Linked DNA regions of Bombyx mori. The protein of the gene in region 1 purifies or fractionates together with the protein of each later gene. This does not show direct contact. Links are inferred from orthologs where the notes say so. Each region holds a gene or a part of one and is shown in the gene's direction. Other genes may lie near its edges.

What was found.
Region 2: the proteins of potassium voltage-gated channel protein Shaker (region 1) and protein quiver purify together in Drosophila melanogaster (affinity purification with western blotting, with the first as the bait; 3 studies listed by BioGRID). This does not show direct contact. The link is inferred for Bombyx mori from reciprocal best matches to the Drosophila melanogaster genes Sh and qvr.

Annotation. Positions count from the first base shown.
Region 1 is NC_085107.1:19,182,846-19,186,677, forward strand, and holds part of potassium voltage-gated channel protein Shaker, read left to right. Parts: intron 1-1,021; coding exon 1,022-1,212; coding exon of another isoform or gene 1,213-1,227; intron 1,228-1,465; coding exon of another isoform or gene 1,466-1,509; exon of another isoform or gene 1,510-2,341; intron 2,342-3,354; coding exon 3,355-3,572; intron 3,573-3,832.
Region 2 is NC_085108.1:8,129,783-8,134,256, forward strand, and holds the start of protein quiver, read left to right. Parts: upstream 1-1,364; 5' UTR 1,365-1,571; intron 1,572-2,455; 5' UTR 2,456-2,526; coding exon 2,527-2,551; intron 2,552-4,474.

The DNA of each region.
Region 1 (3,832 bases):
GCTTACGCTATATTGTCAATGTATCCTAAATGTTTGAATGTATGCATCGATGTTGTGGCGCCTACACTGATCGACATAAGCTCATCGAAAATGGTGGCAAGAGCCGGCCGCACTGTTGTCATCATCGCATTTGTACTGTAGTGGATCTCATCGTGTTATTGTAACGCTTGTGATCACTTAGTAATCTCGTTGCCTCCTGAAGCCTCAATGTGTCTAGCGTATGAGGCTTTCTGGTGAGATGGTGAAATTTACACTTATTTAATAATATGCTACTATGTAAAATTGGTGTTCGTTTGGATGTATTGCTGTTTTATATATTTAGCACAAATTTTTTTAGCTCACACACCATTTTCGATAGAGGAGCACAGTTCAATGTTAAAAAGTGGTTTGTTTACGTGCATGATTTTTGTCTTCGTTTGTAGTATTTGTCATGTTTTAGTTTTAGTATTTATTAGTAATATATCAAATAAGTATTCAATTAAATCTGCCTTCGTTAGGAGCGGAATGGATCTTTGGGACTCACACAAGATATGTCGTTATAGGCACAATTAGCTAATTGTCCGTAATGAAAAATATCTGGCTGTGCGTTCGATTTAATGGATCTATTCTCCTCCGGCGGACGCAGCGCTGGCGATAACACGAAACCGCAATGCGTTTATTGAAAAGTTGCAGTTTAATTCTGTAACTAGCTGGCGAGAATGAAAGATGACGAATGAAATAGTACTTCTTCTACTCTCATTAAACAAACGCAAAAATGCGAATGCTAAGCTCTTTTTTATATAATGTACATTTAATAAATAAATAAAAAACTTTAGATTTCGTTTATCTTAATGAACATAAAAGAACGAGGACGCTGTTGATCTGAGAGCTATGGTATGTAAAATTATGTTGCATGTTTATTATCAGTAAAGATAATATTTATTGCAGACAGAAATAATTACTGAGTAAGGGCAACATGTTGTATTGTTAGGTGATTGTTGGGCCGTTTCTCTTTCTAATAAGTGCCTCATGCTGCGTACAGGCCGGTCGGAGTCTGGGGGAAAATCGTGGGTTCGCTGTGCGCCATCGCCGGCGTGCTCACTATCGCCCTCCCCGTGCCCGTCATCGTCTCCAACTTCAACTACTTCTACCACCGCGAAACTGACCAGGAAGAGATGCAGTCCCAGAACTTCAACCACGTAACCAGCTGCCCCTACCTGCCGGGAACCATGGGCGAGCCCTACCTGAGTAAGTTTCGCGATTTCTTCGTTTCATTAGTGTAAGCTCGACATTCTCTTTATATGAACTGACGTGTTGCGAACCAAGCGAATGTTGGTAAACTCCATTGTCCGTAATATCTCCGTTGGTTTATTTGCATGCGTTGCGCTTCACAGTTTTACCTCGCACTGCATGCTCCGTTTTTTTTTATTTATTTTTTTATTTTCTTTTGATTTGTTTCGTTTATGTTGATTTTCGATAATTTCAGGTGGGAGGGACGATGAGAGGGACGAGGTTTGCTGTGACCACTGACTGTCTGACTCGTTCGTGTGTTCGTTTTGTATTACTAAGGACTATTCCGATCGGCAGAGACGATTCTTGTGATATTATCGTGTAAGGGACGAAAGCGTGCCATTAGTTCCGTGTAAATATTATATAGTCAGTAAGCGATGTAAAAATAAGATAATAAAAATTGTTATTTACTTTTCTTTTTAGTTATGTTTGAGTGGAAAATATTTTCATGTAGTTATTTAATTATGATTTACGAGTATAGTCGGAAATCTCAACAATATATCACTCACATTACTCGGTCGAACGCGTGATAAATATTCCGGGAGCCGATAACTCATTTATGTGTAATGACTTTGAGAGTCATCGATGCTCGTGTAATATAAATTTATAGAATAACGTTTCAGTACAAGGATTTAAAAGAAATGTAAAATTTACGAGTACTTTTATGATTTGTTTGGGCGAGAAGAGAGTTTGGGGCGCGGCACGATTTCAGCTCGGCCGGCTGATATGTTTTGAATGTTGTTCGCCATTCACACGGCTCATGTTGCCGACAACATGTTGTGAACGTGTCAATCACTAAACGCTTTTCATGCACCACCACCCAAATACGAACCGCCGTTCTCTGATCTTATTTATTATGTAGTTGTCTAAATGCACCATTTATTGTTTATTTTATTTTGTATGCTGTTTATCATCACTTCGCTTTCCATTCGATGCCTAGTTGCGAACATTAGGACGACCAGCCGTGTGAATGGCCGTATTAATATATTAGTCGTAAACATTTTATATTTGTTCCGAAATCATGTTTTACCGATATTGTGACATAAAGTGAGGAAGTAAAAAGTAAGTTTTATTTTGTTTCTTTTTCTTTTGTATTTTTTTTTTTACAATTTTTTTTTCTTTCCCACTTATTATTCTGTTCCGGCAATTCGCATCGTAGGATTTTAATTTACGATAAGAAAATACCGATTAATTCTTTCAGTCGATTCAAATGTGCTTATAGTGTCTCTCCGTAAGGACTATATAACTTCAAATTTACACGTGGTTACCAGCACCTATTAACGATAAATTTTTAACACAATACACATAGTATTACAATTAAGTTGTTTGAATAAATCAACGGTAATTTCGTAATACTCACGACAGATGGCAACCGGCCAGTTCTAAATTCGTATTCCGAAACTGATTTAGATTCAATAAAAAACAATTTGTGAATAGAGTCGCTCCATTCTACGCATGATAATAGTAGGTATGCATACATACTTAAAGAACGTCACACACATTAGAGTATGCAAAAGATTTTATAATTTTCTTAATAAATTTAAGAATCTGTCATACAATTTTGTGGCATATTTAATCAAATTAGGCTGTTTGTTTGAAAAATTCATCGATTCGACTAAAAATATTACTTCTTCAAACACAATCCAAGGTTAAAAAAATCACCCAATATATAAAACCTAATTTTATTTTCTATCCAAAAACTACATTTTAATAGCACTACAGAAGCTAATCCCGTAAACGATACGAAGTCATTAAACTAGTAGGATTTTCTAGAAAATACGAAGAATACTTGCTTAATACATTAGTCATTGACTTTACATCACTAGTATTCAAATTGAAATAGACGGTAAGAAGGTTAGTAGGGTCAAATAAATATTAAAATCTCGATATCGATACTAGGTCGTGATGCGTCGCTGCAAATATTATTTTAGGATCTGACATTGATTAAACAATAGATCGCCAGAAATAGATCAAATGCCGAGTTCAGCAAGCCGAGCACTCCACGACTCCAGGTCAAGCCGTAACCGCTAGAATCTGGAATAGATTTAACCGTAGTGACGAGGGCAAACTCGGGAACAGTTTCAGGGCCAATACAGAAGAAGTCCTCTATGAGCGATGACTCCTCTTCTGAGATGATGGAGTTGGACGAGTCGGCCATGGCGTCCGAGCCGCAACTCGAGCAGAACCTGCGCCGCCTCCGCGAGGAGGAGAACCTTCTGCGCGAGCAGCAAGCCACCATGGAGGCCGGTGCGTTCGACGACATCGCCGCTCTGGAGCATCAGGACGCTCTGCGCCTCAACCAGGTTACTCATCTTTTTTACGTAATATCTTCATTAACCATTTACGGATACTAAAATTGAACGAATAAAAAAATATTAATTTTTTTTATTGCTTCGATGAGTGGACGAGCTCACAGCCACCTGGTGTCAAGCGGTTACTGGAGCCCATAAATGCGTCACCCACCTTGAGATATAAGTTCTAAGATCTCAAGTATAGTTACAACGGTTGCCCCACCCTTCAAACCGAAACGCATTACTGCTTCACGGCAGAAATAGGCAGGTTG
Region 2 (4,474 bases), on another chromosome or scaffold:
AGCTCGCAGCCCACTTGGTGTTAAATTGTTACTGGAGCCCATAGACATCTACAACGTAAATGCGCCACCCACCTTGAGATAAGTTCTAAGGTCTCAGTATAGTTCAACGGCTGCCCCACCCTTCAAACCGAAACGCATTACTGCTTCATGGCAGAAATAGGCAGGGCGGTGGTACCTACCCGCGCGGACTCACAAGAGGTCCTACCACCAGTAAGTGTAGTGTGACTTTACCGCGAAGGGAGTCAAATTTCTAATCTTCATCTAATTTATTGTCTAATGACGCGAGGTCTCTTTTACACAAGATTATCGTCGATCGCTTATCGTATTTTACGAGGAGACGAGCGGTGTTATAAATTCATTCTGACCAACAGTCAAAATACACCAATACAATTCAGTAAAACTAATAAACAAATAGTTTTCTTCCAGAAATAAGTAATTCATTTACAATGTTTCGTTTTTAAGCATTAGAAAGGAAAAAACAATGTTTAATAATAGCAAACCGCAATATGTACTGCTTTGCGGCAAAAACAGCAGAATCCAAATTAATTATGTAACTTTTACACACGAATGTTGGCTATCTGTAGAGTATTACAAAGTGGAAACGCTCAGGGCCCTTGTTGAATACATAAAAGGAGCAGCTTATTTTAATCTCTTGTTAATTAAATTAAATACGTTATTACATAAACGTGTTACGCTTAATTTATCAATTGTCAATGCACATAATACTGCCGCATAGCGACATAGGCATAACCAATGCTGGGGTGACAGTGCTGTCAAGAATAAAAGAAACCTTCACTTAGTAGGAATTTTATTTATTCTCCGTCTAAGATTTTGATAGTTTTTTACCGGTCTCATAGATATACAAATGCACAAACTCCTTTTATAAGACCAGGGGTTGGTTATAGCTTCATGATCCAATTTTTCATGTTCAATGATCTGTCGTTTGTTTTAGTTGAAAGTATTCAGGTCACACATTTGCAGATGCTTATAACCATATGTTCCTTTATCGTATGAGTCGTTCAAAAACGTATGTTAACTTTAAAATTATTCTATAAATTGATAATCGAGGGCTATGATCGCACACTTCACAAATCTCAGACAAGTGGTACTTAGAAATTAATAATTCCTAACGTCTTCTCTATTATATCTGTATTTAAAAATGCTCGTGCAATTAGCTTGGATTTTTTTTACAATAATATTTCAGAAAATACATTTTAAAAAATTTAACTGTGTTTTTAGTAATAAAAGTATCATTGAAAATATACTGTTACAGCATAATTTTGTCTAGCAAAAAAATATAAAAATTCTACTAAGCCTTGATTCAGAGAATTGGTAGTGGCTATAAATGCGCCGTTGGTAACCCCATCAGTAATTTTTGAGCGCGCGTGATAGTGTATCACTTTGCAACCAAAAAATGTTCATTAAAATCCTCTGACGCTTGTAAAACGCCAGAAAATCGCAAATCATTTATTTATTAGTAAAATAATGATTAAAAAACGTTTATAACATATGTTGTGTACATAATATAATATAGTTTTAGTTTTTAAGGAAAATAAAATGAATTACTGCCGGTAAGCGAATAAAAATACATTCTATAGAATGAAAAGTTAAAAAAATTGGTTTCGCTAGCTCTCTCATTATTTTATGAGAGTGAAGTGTCTTAAAATATTTGAACACAGTTATTTATGTAATTTTTAATTAACGAAGGACATAAATATAAATCTTAATTAATTCACAAACCGTTTAATTGAATTATATTTCATAGTGTTTTGACGGATTTTAATGGTTTGCGAGTGTTTTCGCTGGAAAATCAATAATGTCTGCGCATACTGCCGACTGCTGAGATCCCTAACGCAGTGTCCCTTGCCTGATACACGAAAAATAACATTTAGACATTTAACTAAATATTGTTACCACATAACAATATTATCTTAAAATTCATTCATGTATTCTTATGGATACCGTAATTTATATCATAACAAATCTTCGAAGTTGTAATTAAATTAAATAAATTAACGAAGATTATTATTTAAATTTTATTAAAATTGTGTGTATCCCATAGGAGCTTCATAGACATTTACTTCCAAAATTTGTTCTAAGACTTGATTTGGATAATTACTTAACAATAGTATTAAATAACTTATTTAAATCCACATTTTTTTGGATTCGAACACAGAAAGACACTTCAATCCAAACAATTTAAAAATCATAGACGTTATATGATAAAGTTTACAAATAAAATTTTCATGCGTCGATTTCCCGCCATTTCTCAGCATTTTGATACTGCAGGGATTGGCATTAGGCGCTTACGACTTATCGAAAACTCTCGAACTATGATAGCCTAACTAAATAATTAAAGTAATTAAGAATAAAGAACTTTTTAATATAAAAATTTACAAAAAAATTTTTTTTTTTTAATATTAAAATGTGATTTTAAAAATTCTGTATTTTGAAGCGGCTATGGCTGAGCCATCGTTCAGCTGAAATCGATGCGATCATTTCACTACAACAGAAGAAAAACGAAAAATGCGCTGGATATTTCCCGTTCCAGGTAAATACATCTCACATCATACTTTAAAAAATGTAAAAATTAATGAATTGAAGAAATACAGTATACAATAATTTACGAATTCCTCGGAAGAGACGATTGAAGTGACTATTCATTTAATTTTACATATTTAAATTAGAATAAAATTGAATAAATACGTAAATACGAGAGAAAGTTTCAAAATAATTGTCCAAGGTCAAATTCATGTCATTTAAAATATAAGCTCGAACATAAGCGGCAGCTTTTTGCTCAAAAGTTACGAGTATCCTAATTACATCAACTCATGGCTTCAATTTTTTGGGTTTTTACCATCCCCTACCTTTCTAATCTGTGTGCTTATAATATAGAATATATACTCCATACTTATATATACTATTTTTTTTTATTGCTTTAGATGGGTGGACGAGCTCACAGCCCACCTGGTGTTAAGTGGTTACTGGAGCCCATGGACATCTACAACGTAAATGCGCCACCCACCTTGAGATATAAGTTCTAAGATCTCAGTATAGTTACTGGTGGTAGGACCTCTTGTGAGTCCGCACGGGTAGGTACCACCACCCTGCCTATTTCTGCCGTGAAGCAGTAATGCGTTTCGGTTTGAAGGGCGGGGCAACCGTTGTAACTATATACTAAATACTAAAGAAGGAGTCTTCTCATAATTACAGTCTGAAGATTGTTTTCAATATTTTTGAGTCTCGGCCTTATTTTTAATGATAAGGATACAGCTTTGAAACCGAACACGAATAAAATTATTATTTTACAGAATATTTACGTAATTTTAAATGTGCTCCAATTGGTAGCTCTAGAATTAACACGTTGACTGCTATGTAGGTCACCGGTGACCTATGCGGCGCATCGAAGTAATTATGTCGATTTCAGTTACTAAGGATCTGGATTGCCTTACTTTGCCTTCTTTTGTTTTTTAATGTATGTTTTAGTCTATTAGGTCTCTTAGAAATACGCGCAGCGCCTCGCGCTTCTTTCTCAGGGCGTAGTCTCCCGGTAGGCATTGGAAGAAGAGGAAGTCTTTGGTCTTCCTTCTTCTTCTCTGGAGGCGCCGGAGTCCGACATAACCCGGTCTGTTAGAACCCCTCTCGACCGGGTATCCGTATTCCCGAGCGTTAAAAAAACAGGGTCTCTTAGAAATAGATTCATTCTCAGTATCTTCGGATTCGTCTTTCCCATAGTCTACTAGATATTCCCGCGCCTTACTAAGAAGATAGAAGAAAGAAATCGACATAATAACTTCATAGCGCCGCGTAGGTCACCGGTGATCTACACGGCAGTCAAAATGTTAATTGCATATGGAGATTAGATTTCAGATAAAGAGGTAACCTACGCCAATAATAAGTTCCACGTAAATAAGTTGTTAAGTCAATATAAAATCTCTAGAAAAAGCTATAATGTAACTTAGTTTTGTTATAGCATGTATATTAAATTTGTGAATTGAATTAGTTGATTGTATGAATCTAACATACTTAACCTATTAACTTTTGCGTAAATAATTGTAATTTTTTTTTTTTGATGTGTGGACGATCTCACAGCCCACCTGGTGTTAAGTGGTTACTGGAGCCCATAGACATCTACAATGTAAATGCGCCACCCACCTTGAGAATAAGTTCTAAGGTCTCAAGTATAGTTACATAAAATATAAAGTATCTTTACGAGTGCTCATATGAAACTTCTCAATATAGAAATATAATACAATACGTATTTTAATGCACTTTTTTGTGGCAATATATGAAAATTCTACTTGAATAAATTACTGGTAGGATGTTTTATTGGTGTTAAATTTGTTTACTGAATCAAATTGTTCACGTAATGAAACCGTGCCACTACCAATTGAAGGCTATGAAGTCGTCGTGGCCTAAAGGATAAGACGTCCGGTGCATTCGTATGTGGCGATGGTGGATGGTTTTTACCATC